Linked DNA regions of Caenorhabditis elegans. The protein of the gene in region 1 interacts with the protein of each later gene in a pairwise test. Each region holds a gene or a part of one and is shown on either strand. Other genes may lie near its edges. The genes, in order: mdf-2 and mdf-1.

What was found.
Region 2: the proteins of mdf-2 (region 1) and mdf-1 interact in a two-hybrid assay, tested with the Caenorhabditis elegans proteins (4 studies listed by BioGRID).

What each region holds. Positions count from the first base shown.
Region 1 is NC_003282.8:2,635,497-2,643,066, forward strand, and holds mdf-2 (Mitotic spindle assembly checkpoint protein MAD2A), read right to left. Parts: upstream 5,529-7,570; 5' UTR 5,515-5,528; coding exon 5,445-5,514; intron 5,395-5,444; coding exon 5,248-5,394; intron 5,184-5,247; coding exon 5,066-5,183; coding exon of another isoform or gene 5,050-5,065; exon of another isoform or gene 4,202-5,049; coding exon 4,139-4,201; intron 2,191-4,138; coding exon 2,049-2,190; intron 1,126-2,048; coding exon 1,054-1,125; 3' UTR 733-1,053; downstream 1-732. Other genes in the region: nduv-3 (NADH dehydrogenase [ubiquinone] flavoprotein 3, mitochondrial), read left to right, coding at 5,816-5,915, 6,372-6,523; Chaperone ric-8, read left to right, coding at 7,491-7,570.
Region 2 is NC_003283.11:9,541,185-9,546,203, reverse strand, and holds mdf-1 (uncharacterized protein), read left to right. Parts: upstream 1-1,977; 5' UTR 1,978-1,979; coding exon 1,980-2,184; intron 2,185-2,234; coding exon 2,235-2,795; intron 2,796-2,850; coding exon 2,851-3,119; intron 3,120-3,168; coding exon 3,169-4,043; intron 4,044-4,129; coding exon 4,130-4,259; 3' UTR 4,260-4,422; downstream 4,423-5,019. Other genes in the region: his-41 (putative histone H2B 3), read right to left, coding at 40-276, 491-625; his-35 (Histone H2A), read left to right, coding at 921-1,070, 1,203-1,436; C50F4.16 (Uridine diphosphate glucose pyrophosphatase NUDT14), read left to right, coding at 4,598-4,793, 4,842-5,019.

The DNA.
Region 1 (7,570 bases):
AAAATCAAAAAATCACAATTTTTTTCAAAATTTTAAAGAAACTTCTTTTTTTGGAAGAAAATTTTGGAAGATGTAAGGAAGAACATTTAATTTTTTTGCGTTGATATTTTGAAACTTTTAAGTTGTTGGAGTTATTAGGAAATTTAAACAATTTTGGCAAAAATATCAAAAAATTTTGATTTCTCAAAAAAAAAAATTCCAAATTCCTTTTTTTCAACCAATTTTTTTTTGATTTTTCTGCATCTTTAAAGCATACTCAAAATAAAAAAAATATATATATAATTTGGCAGTTTTTAAAAATTTTCAAAAAAAAAAATCGCGAAAAAAAGTTACAAAAAAATTTTTTTTTTCCCTAAAAAACTTATCCTAAATTTCAAATTCTCTTCTTAAAGTTGATAATTATCGTGGCGGGACCCCCTGCTGACAACTTCTAAAGATACCCCTCCCGGCGGTCCCACCGGCCGCCAAAAAAGGCCTGCAAAACGGTCCAAGAGGGTCAAATTACATAAGGGAGAACAAAACAGGTGTATTTAGTATATGTATGTTTAAGGATATTATACGGCAGTTTAAATATGGAAGGGGGAGTTTTTAAATTTTTTGGAAAAAAAAATTTTTTTTTTGGAAATTTTGAGAAAAAATTTTTTTTTTGGAAATTTAATTTTTTTTTTTTCAAAAATCCCAGCTAACTTTTGATTCAATTTTTTTAATTCTTATATTTTCTAATGCCAATTTTTTCCGAAAATTGTTCATTTTATTCTTGAAAAGTTTTTTAAAAGAAAAGCTGAAAATTTTACAATAACGCAGATGAAAATTCCAAATTTTTTGGGGATATTTCGCCAAAAAAATCATTATGTGAATTTGTGGTGATGAAGATGATGACAATCGCTTTGAAAAAAAAAATAACAAAAAATACAAAATTCGGGGGAAAAAAATGAAAAATTAACAATAAAATTGGACATTTTAGTTTGAGCCAATTTTTGGCAGACAGAGAGAGAGAGAGTAAGAGTAAAGAGAGGTAGCAGAGAAAACAGACAAAAATTATTCGGGGGAAATTTAAAAATCCGCCTTGTACTGTACATTCGTGTTAACCGAGTGAACTGACGTCGAGAATGAGCGAAGTTGCACCTGAAAAAAAAATCAAATTTTTGAGGGGTCAAATTCGAATTTTCTGTGATTTTCTACCCCTAACCCTAAATTTTCAGAGCTCTAGCTCAAAATTACGTAAAATTCGGTGTGGTTACGGTAGCCGGTGTTTGCGTACTTTCGGGGCTACAGTAACCCGAAATGTTCAAAATTGCGCTATAAAGATGTCCATAGGTGCATTTTGTGGCAGAGAATTTAATTTTAAAAACGAAAAAAGTATCAATTTCGGAAAATTCAAATTTTTAAAAATTTCTGATTTTTCAAAATGAAAATTCAATATTAAATTCGAAATCTCCGCCGTTTTTCACCTCTTCATCTCAATTTTCAGAGCTCTAGCTCAAAATGGCGTAAAATCCGGTGTATTGGGTGACGGTAGGCGGTGTTTGCGTACTTTCGGGGCTACCGTAACCCGAAAATTCGAAATTACGCCAAAATCTCCCAAAAAAAAAGCTCTAGGGGAGGGAAAAAAGCGGAGAATTCGAATAAAAATTGTGACAATTCGAATTTTTAAGAGTTCCGCGCAGTTTTTCCAATGAAATTTCAATATTAAATTCGAAATCACCGAGTTCTAGCTGAAAATGGCGTAAAATCTGGTGCTTTGGATTACTGTAGTCGGTGTTTGCGTACTTTCGGGACTACAGTAACCCGAAAGCTTGAAATTTAAGCTAGAAGCTGGAATATTCTAGAAATTCGAATTTTTATATAAAATTTGTTGTGGAAAATGTGTAAAGTACGCGAAAATTCCAATTTTCTGGAAATTTTCAACAAAAAATTCGTTTTTTCCGAATTTTCAGTGATTTATCTCAAAATCGCGTTAAATCTGGTACTTTGGGTTACTGTAGTCGGTGTTTGCGTACTTTTGGGGTTACAGTAACCCCAAAATCTTTGAATTTCGCGGTACTTACAGTCTCCGAATTCTGAATCAAACAGGCTCCGCTTTCAGTCCAGTCCTCGGGTGCTTGAGTATCTTTTCCAGTGTAAATGAGCACATCGAACGAGACAGGCTCCTCGAGCAGTGGCAAGAATGACACAGATGCGGTGATTTGGCTGAAAATTTAGATTTTCACTACAACTTTTTCCTCACGAGGGACGAGGAAAAGTGGTTTCTAGGCCATGGCCGAGGGGCCGACAAGTTTCAGCGGCCATTTATCTTGCTTTGTTTTCCGCCTGTTTTCTTTCGTTTTTCATCGATTTTTTTCGTTTTTTCTTAATAAAACTGATAAATAAATATTTTTTGCAGATGCTAAAACAATTTCCAAGTAAAAATCATGTATTCAGTGGGCAAGCAGCGGTGAAAGTGGGCATTGTGTAATATGATGGATTACTGGAATACAAAACCTAAACTTTTTCTGAAAAATGATACACATGCTGCTTAGATGCTGAAACTACCTGATTTTCATAACGATACCACTGAAAAAGTTTTGAGGTTTTCAAAATTCAAATTTTTTAGTGAAAATCTCGACTTTTTCACCAAAAAAGTTGAATTTTGGAAACCTCAAAACTTTTTCAGCGGTCTCGTTATGAAAATCAGGTAGTCTCAGCACTTAAGCATCATATGTATCATGTTTCAGAAAAAGTTTAGGTTTTGTATTCCCGTTATCCATCATATTGCATTGACCACTTTCACCGCTGCTTGCCCACTGAATACATGATTTCTTTACTTGGAAATTGTTTCAGCATCTGCAAAAAATATTTATTTATCAGTTTTATTAAGAAAAAAACGGGAAAAAGCTGTGAAAAACGAAAGAAAACAGGCTCAAAACAAAGCAAGATAAATGGCCGCTGAAACTTGTCGGCCCCTCGGCCATGGCCTAGAAACCACTTTTCCTCGTCCCTCGTGAGGAAAAAGTTGCAGTGATTTTTTTTCAGGAAAAATCGATTTTTTCAGAGATTTGAATTTTGTCCGATGCAATTTCCTATATTATTTACATTTTTAACGCTGAATTTGTAACACTTTTCACCTCAAGACATTTATTTTAGCTTAAAATCGCGTAGTATCCGGTGTTTCTGGGCTACGGTAGTTGGTGTTTTCGTACTTTTGAGACTACAGTAACCCGAAAATCTTGAAAAAGAGAGCTAGGAGATTGGAAAAAACAGTTTTCGGCCTAAAATAAAGTGGGGAATTTGGATTTCGCCATAAAAACTAGTAGAGTAACCTTATAAAAATGACAATTTTCGGGGAAAAACTCATTTCTTATGCTCAAATTCAAACTTTTTCTCCATCTTAGCGCGAAATCGCGTAAAATCTAGTGTTTTGGGTTACTGTAGTCGGTGTTTGCGTATTTTTGACGCTACAATAACCCAAAAATTTCCTAGATTTAGCTAGAGCCTTAAAATTTATGTTTTAGGCCTAAAAATGGCAATAAATAGTAGATTTTCCCAAAAAATTTCCGAATCAGTTCAAAAAATTGAGTTTTCTGACTCTCGAAATTTTTTCTGAATTTTTCATCCTGAAATTCAGGTTCACCGTCATTTTCTGCTTCTGGGGGCTAAAATTTTCAGATTTCTAGCTCAAAATTGCGTAAAATCCGGTGTTTGCGCACTTCTGGGGCTACAGTAACCCAAAATTCATAAAAATTGGGTTAGAAGCCTAAAAACTGGGTGCTAAGGGTAGAAAATTGTTGGAGAAGACGAATTTCACATTGGATTGCACTAATTGCCGGCGATTTTTGGTCGAATTTCACTGGAAAACTTTTTTTTTTCCAACTTTTTGCGTCAATTCTCAAAACTTTTACGTTTTCCTCCATTTTTTTTGCGTATAATTTCCGTCTAAAAACCCATAATACAAATATAATTGAGGATCATCTCTTTCCTTCCTTCTTCCACCAATTAGTCAAATAAAACACGTCTGTCGCCTAGATATGGTATTCTCCCAACCAATAAGAGCACCATCACACCACCTGACGCCACAAATTTGTATTTTGGTTATTTCTAATCAAATTTCTCAAATTTTCGGGGGTTCTTTTCTTCTTTTTGTCCTTTTTGAAAGCCGTACCGAATCACATCGCTAATCTCCTGCCGAATCTTCTTCTCCTCCTTGACGCGGTGCGCGTTTTCTCTGCAAAAATTGGGAATTTAGGTCTAAAAATTTATGAAAATTACGAAATTTGACCTTAGAAAAGTTGAAAATTGGCCCTGAAACCCTGAAATTGCCCTTACAAAAAGAAACTTCCCATGCCGGGAATCGAAACCGGGCCGCGTGGGTGAAAACCACGAATCCTAACCACTAGACCACATAGGATCCAAAAACTGAGGGCGCGAGTGCATAGACATGCCGGTGGGGGCCAGGGATTTATCGATTTATCGATTTTTTTTTCGCTTTTTTTTTCAGTTTTTTGCAAATTAAGCATCTCCTTGACCTCTCTGCTTCCGGCTGAGCACACCTGTTATGCTTCTGAAGACTCTCCTCTTGGTATAATGTCTATTGCGTCATCATAGGGCGGTTGCCGGAGCACTTGAGAGTCAAGAGGTTTTTGTTGTTGAAAGGGATTATGAGACAATGAGAAATGTATACATATCACACCTTTTTGAGGGGGTTTGTGATGCAATTAGTGGGTTTCAGTGAGAATTTTGAAACAAAAAAATCCGAAAAAAATGCTGAAAATTAATCAAAACGTGCGAAAATTTGTAACTTCTATCGGTAAATTTCCAATTTTTAAAGAAATTCTCAAGAAAAAATCAATTTATTGCTCCGGAAAAGCTGAGAGTAACCTAAAAATTGAGACAATTCAGTTAAAAAACTTCAAAAACGCGCCAATAATTAGGAGATTTTAATCGCAAAACTTGGCCAATTTCAACAATTTCAACAGGAAAAATGACCATTCTGAAGATTTTTTCAGCCAAATTCCCCAGTTTTAGCGGAAAAAATTGAGCTTGACGCCGGATTTTGCAGCTTTGAGCCAGTTTTCAAACGATTTCGTACCCTTCCTCGGCCAAATTCTCTGTATGAATATCGAATTGCCATCTTTCCACGACTTCCTTCGTCTTCACCTCGGAAATCACCATCACCAACCGTTTCAGCTGTCTTTTCGCGAGCCAATCTGCAAACTTCAGATGATTTTAACGCTGAAATTCGAATTTCCCCCGCCGCCGCAAAAAAATTACATTCAACTTGCTGCAAAAGTGGATCCATGAACGCTTGGAGCTTCTTCTCATGAGCCACCCACAGTGTGAGCCCGTACTTCTTCTCACGCTTGAAACTGTCTGATGGATAAAGCGCACGTTGATAGAGAATGCTGTTAAGGCCGAAATCTGAAATAAAAAACGATAAAATCGCGAATTTTTGCAGGGGAAAACCGTACGGAAGAACTCTTTGACGAGTTGGGCAGATCCTTTGAGGGAAATCGCGTTTTGTGTCTTTACATCCGTCATTTCTGATGAATTCCCTGCAAAATAACGATAAAAACTGATTAAAAATCGAAGAAAAATGACCGAAAACGCGCCGCAAACAGTTTAAGATTCGAATTCTCCCGCCGAAACAATTGCACGAGAAACGCGCCAATAAACATCACGAAACGCGCCAGCAAGCGTCCAAGGCACATATCGATTTTTCTCGCGACTCGGAAAAGAAATTAATTAAAAATCTCGAAAATCATCGATTTTCATTGTTTCTTTCAGTTTTTTCATTGATTTTTTGGTAAAATAATTGATAAATAAGTTTTTTTTTTCAGAAATGAACCGCTTGATGGTTATTTCGGCTCGTCGGATGGCGTCGGCGGCTCCAAAAACGAGCACCGGAATCGAGCACGCAGAGAAGGCCAGACAGGTCGCTGGTATGGCTTTCTGAAACTCTAAACTAGATAATAATCCGTCATAATATTGTATTGAAAAAGTTTAAGCCAAAAAATTCCTTAAAAATAGCTGAAAAAGTTGAATTTTTGCGGAAATGGCACGAAAATTCGATGTTTCCCGTAAAATCACTGAAATATTTGATTTTTTGCATTAGAACTTGTGAATAGCTAAATTTTTAGTTACAATTTCATTGAAAAAAGCTAGTTTCTGCAAAAAATGTCGATTTTTCGCCATTTTTCTTGTTAAAATCGATTTTAGCCGAAAATATTCTGATTAAACATTAAAAATGAGCAGAATATCGATTTTTGTCAGAAAAAAAAACTATGAAAAGTCTAATTTTCTGGAAAAATGTGCATTTTTCTAGAAAAAAAATCGAATTTCAGACAAGTTTTTCCCAATTTCCATCCAATTTCCACGCAAAATCTCTCAATTTTCAGGCGGAAAACCCGATTGGTCACTGTACAAATGCGACGAATACCTGAAATTCGACAAATACTCGTACGCTCACGCCGAAATCACCATGAACAAGGATCGTGTCGTTCAGCCGTCCTACAAGAAGGCCGACGTTCTTCCGAAAGTTCGAGCTTAATCTTTTTTCGACATTTTCTGTGTGAAAAATAGAGTTTTCGGTGGATTTTATCATTTTTTTTGTGTAGATTTTTCGTATAAATATGAGTTTTTACATAGATTTTTTAATTTTATTGATTTCATGGCTGTTTCCATGCTTAATTATCTAGTAACAAGTCGTTGAAAAACGAAAAAAACACAACGATGCTCCGATGTTCCGCACGTGCATGTTGTTTATCATTGCTCAAAAAATGGCGGTTTTTCGAATTTTTTTTGTGAATTTTTGCTGTTTTTCCGCCTAAAAAAATAAATTTTAACACAATAATAAGCCGAAGCACAATTTTTCTTTAATGCCTGCTCGTTCCCACGGTGATTGCCGCCACAAGGGATTACCTAGCAGCGAGTTTCCATGGTGATGGGCGTCGCTAGCTTTTGTTCAGAGAAGCAGATGTCATATTCATTGAATTTTTAATTTTTTCAATCAAAATCGCATTATTTTCGAGAGATTCGAGGGAAAAATCGAAAAAATTGCAAAATTTTGATCGAAATTGTTGATTTTCATTATTTTTCGCAATTACTTCAATGAAAAATCACTTCAAAATGACCAAAAATGGTGTTTCGATGCAAATAATAAGGGTTTTTTTTTCAGAATAAGCTAGTGAAAAAAAAAAAATCGAATTTTCACTATTTTTCTCCTCGTTTCTTTGATTCTGCCATAAATACGATTGGAGAGAGTAAAATCTGAAATTTTTCCGAAAACCAGTTAAAATTCTGTTATTTTTCAACAAAAACCGTAAAAAAAATCATTAAAAACCTCGGAAAAAAAGTAATTTTTCGCTTTTTTTAAAACAATTTTTAACGATGCTCCGAAATCCCGCATGCGCGTGCTGTTTAGCATCACAAAAATTCGCGATTTTTTGAATTGTTCGATCCTGAAATTGCATTTTTTCTCGTAAATAATTAATTTTTCATGATTTTCAGGCAATTCCATGTCTGAAGAACTACATTCCGACCTGATTGCGTCGATTTTCGGCGGGAAGCCTGCCAAAATCGAGGAATTCTTCTCGAA
Region 2 (5,019 bases), on another chromosome or scaffold:
GAATAGGAGTGTTAATGGGAGATCGTAATCATTAATAAATTATTTACTGGAAGTGTACTTGGTGACAGCCTTGGTTCCTTCTGAAACAGCATGCTTTGCAAGTTCTCCAGGAAGAATGAGACGGACAGCGGTTTGGATTTCGCGAGAAGAGATGGTGGATCTCTTGTTGTAGTGGGCCAGACGAGATGCTTCCGAAGCAATTCTCTCGAAGACATCGTTGACAAACGAATTCATGATCGACATAGCCTTGGATGACACACCGGTGTCTGGGTGAACCTGCAAATTATTTAATAATATTTTTGATTTGACAGAATAACTACTTAATATTATTTTGATTTCTATGATCCCCCAAGACTAATTTAAATGATTTTTAAATACCGGTATTATATCGTTGCAGTTCGTACTAAGTGGTACGTAGTTTTAACATACAACATGCTAATGGCTAAAACATTTTTTTATCATAACTTATTCGATTTGAATATATTCTCACCTGCTTTAAAACACGGTAGATGTAGACCGAGTAGGATTCCTTACGAGCATGCTTTCTTTTCTTTCCGTCTTTTGGCTTGCTGACGGTCTTAGCAGCCTTTTTGGCTCCTTTAGCTGATGGTTTTGGTGGGGCCATGATCGAATGAGACACGAAACGAAAATGCGAAACGAATCGATGTGTTTGGCGAGTGTTGTCTATGAGCGCTGCGAAGCGCTTTTATACTCGCCAGCGGTGGCCCCACCTCTCGCTGCCGCGGAACTAGACTCCGCCCACACCGAGAGAAATAGTTAAATAGAGAGGCGGGCGCGTGTGCGCATGCGTATTTTGCATCGATTTTCGTCGGCTTAGACCACTTTTCTGTTTCTCTTTCACCTCCAATTTGCTCATCTAGACTTCTAGTTCATTGTTATTCAACCTAATTTCAGCAAAGATGTCCGGACGTGGAAAGGGAGGAAAAGCTAAGACCGGTGGAAAGGCCAAGTCCCGTTCGTCGAGAGCTGGACTTCAATTCCCAGTTGGTCGTCTTCATCGTATTCTCCGTAAAGGAAACTACGCACAACGTGTTGGAGCAGGAGCACCGGTATGTAGAATTTTAGAGCTGCTGTGTTTTGTGCATTTCCTAGATTAAAAAATCGTTCAAACCTGAACTTGCTAGCATTTTCCAAATTATATCACTTTTGCTCTTGTACTTTTTAAAAACATAATGTTCCAGGTGTACCTCGCAGCAGTTCTGGAGTACCTCGCCGCCGAAGTTCTCGAGTTGGCTGGAAACGCTGCCCGTGACAACAAGAAAACCCGTATTGCACCAAGACATCTCCAACTCGCTGTCCGTAATGACGAGGAATTGAACAAACTGTTGGCTGGAGTCACCATCGCCCAAGGAGGAGTTCTTCCAAACATCCAAGCCGTGCTTCTCCCAAAGAAGACTGCAGGAGACAAAGAATAAGCAGTGTCACAGATGAATATTGCAACTAAAGATACTCCGCCCCGTTAATTTATATGTCATCTGAATGTATTGTTTACTCGGCTGAATTGTAAATGAAATAAATTCATATACTTTGCAGTTATCAGTAAATTATTTTTTAAAATGAAAATAAGAATTTGTTTTAAATACAATTTTTCCAGGTAAGAAACTTCCCAAAATTCGGATTTTTGAAAAAAAAACTATTCGCAAGATCATATTTTCCTATTTTTGCATGTTCTTGTGTCCGAACATGTTTCCGAATGACCAAATAATAATAAAAAATGAGGCTGAAGAATTGCTGGGAAAAGTGTGCGGCAGCATTGCATAATGCCGCGCCCTTGCAAGTGGGCGGGAAGACGTTATTTTTAAGATTTCTTCGCAGTTTGTTTGGTGACATTCGATAAACTGTTTTTGTGCGAATGGATTTGTTTGACTTCCCTTGATTGCATTAAACATATTATTAATCTCTATCTCAAAATTCGAATCGCTCACTGTAATACATTATGTAACTGATTTTTTTCAGACATGAATTACGATGAAGACATTGTCGATGAAGACGAATATGAAGAGTCGGAAGCTACAATGTTGTTCGCTGAAGAAATCAAAAAACAGTTCAAAAGAGAGTTTCCGTTGAAAGCAGAGACAGAAAAAAAGCTGAAGCAGGCAACATTTCGTCGACATGCGCCGGTGGAGGCCAGAAAAATCAATTTCGATATGACACTCTCACCTGGTAAATTAACTTAATCCATTTATTAAAAATGTTTAAAATATTTTATTTAGTGGCTCCAATCGAATTGGCAAGTGCAAAAAAAGAAAAAGAGTCGGCACAGCGTCAATTGGTAACACTCCGTGAAGATCACGAACGTATGAAACAAATGATGCAAACGAATCAAGCGAAGTTGGCTGAAAAAACCATTGATCTGGAGACGAATCGTGAGAAAATGTTGGAGCTGCAAGAGCAAGTCGAACTTCTGAAGCAAGAACGAGATGACACCATCGCAGAGTGTAATCGAAACGTTGATATTTGGACAGCATTCGGCAAAAAATACTACACTTGGTACTCAATGGCGAATACTCAGCTGGAATCTGTGAAATTGTACATAGACAACGACGGAAAGTTTGAAAACGACGAAGAAGTTACACGATTGAATGCAGTTCCAAGACAGATGTACAGGGCTCTTGAACAATTCGATTATGATGATGAAACAGTAGAAGAACTTGGTTCAGGAAGTCTGCTAGAATATGAAGGTGTTTCATTTGCTACCCGTAGACCACCATCTCCTGAAACGGAAAGAGAAATCGCTCGTGCTGATCAATCGGCTGCTAACTTTACTCTACCTCGTAAGTCCGGAATTTTCAAACTTTTGTTTGCAGGCAAATATATTCGTATTTTCAGAATCCAATTTCACACTTCTCGAGGATTCAAATAACACCATAATGCCAGAAGATCAAACAATGATGACTGATGGCTGCATTGCCAATCGATCACTTATTGATTACGAGAAAGATGAGAAAATTCAGCGATTACTACTGGAAAACAGTGTTCTCAAAGATCGTTTGAATGTCTCGAGTGGGCGTGCTGAAAGGTCGATGATTTTCGAAGAACGTAATCGTACTTTAGAGTTTGAGAAGAAAGCTCTCCATAAGCAGTTGGACAGCACATTTGTGAGTGAATAATTATTGTTAAACTAATTTCACGTTTAATTTATTTTAGAGTGAGATTGAAGCTATTCGGATTGGCCAAGCAGGGAACTTGTTCAATATAGACGAGAAAATTCCTTCGAGTTCAGACAATTCCGCTAAGCAACTGCAGCTCATTGACAGAATCACTCAGCTCATTACGAAGAACAATCAGCTCGAAAAAGATTTTGAAGCAGCTACTTCCAGAATGACGAAAGTTATGCGAGAAAGCACAGACTGTGCTCGTCGCAACGAACGACTTGAGGATGCTTTTTCGAGCGAGAGAGTCAGAAGCCAAGACCTTGAAAATGAGAAAAGCCGGCTCTCTGAACAGTTAGAGTTGAGCAACAATGAATTGGAGAAGGTCAAGAAACAGTTGGAAGAATCTCAATCTCAGCTCGATGAAGTTCTCAGCATGACTTTAACTGTCCCAGCTTCAGAACCGGCATCTTTACCTGCTCCAACCGATGCCGGAAATAGTACACAGATTTTCCATATGGCTTCTAATCCACTCCAAGATGCTCACAATGAATTCCAAGCGTCTGAAAGTAGGAAAAGAAAGTTGACAGATGCTCCAGCTGGTGATCAATGGAGAGAGCAAGAGTTTGCTGAATTGGAGAAGCGTCTTTACGACTGCGAAAGTGAGAAAAAAGTACTCGAAAGTAGTTACAATCTTCATAAGGAACTCTCGTCGAAGTTCCGGCAAGTTTGTATTGCTCTGACCGGTCTCCAAATCAAACTGAAAGATGCAGACGAAGGAATATGCACTGTACAAAGCGAATATGAAGGTGGTTCCGCTCAGCAGTTCGTGTTTAAGTATTTCTATGGAACTCCTCGCATCGATATGCTTGATGTCAGCTGTGAATCAACTACTGAAATGCTTCGAAAGTGGGAGCCACTTATGAAAAAGTTTGTTAATTTTCTGGTTACTTACTATTAGAAGTATAAATACTCCCCGTTGTTGTGAGGCATCTTCTTAAAATATGTTTTTTCAGGTACATTGGCGACCGAAATTCGATTCCGGCTTTCTTAGCAGCAATGACTCTTCAGCTGGAACAGGATCGAGATTTTGACGAGACGATGCATGAGAGAACACATACATTCAGTGTCTTACACGAGGACTAAATCATTGAGCTATCTAGATCTCAATTATTTTTCTTCAAAGGAGAAGCTGTTAAATACACTGTTACCTGAATATTTGATGTTTCATTCCATTTTATTTATTTATTTTTTAATCTAAAACGTGTAGTGATCAAAATTAATCACACAATGAACGTTATATTTTCTTTCCAATTCAATGTTTACTATGGTATATTGTTTCGTACAATCTAAAGTTTATCTGCTCGTATATAGGAGAAATACCATTATGAAAATAGGAAAATTGGTTTTTGAACATCCTGTATTTTTCTAAAACGAGTTTGAATGATACCGCAATTAAATGATATAAGAAAATATATTTTCAGATGACAGCGTCAAAAATTAGTGATGTCTCTTTTGTGACTGATTTTGTATCAAAATATCAGAAAGGAATGGAGATGTCTTACACATTGGATGGAAATTCACGTGTTAGTGAATTCAATCAAAAAATGAGCAGTGTATCCATTCTTCTATTTCATAGAGATTTAGAGCAATTTCTTCTAGTTCGTCAATTTCGACCAGGTTTCCAATTTTATTCTATTGAAATGTGAGCGTTAAGTTGTTTTTTAGCAATCTTCACCGCATCAATTTCAAATTCGCCGGAGAATCACGGTAAAGAATTTGATAAAATTGACTGGAGCAGCTATGATTCTGAAACTGGCTACACCATTGAACTTTGTGCTGGACTAATTGACAAGGAAGGATTATCTCCTAGAGAAATTGCATCAGAAGAAGTTGCTGAAGAATG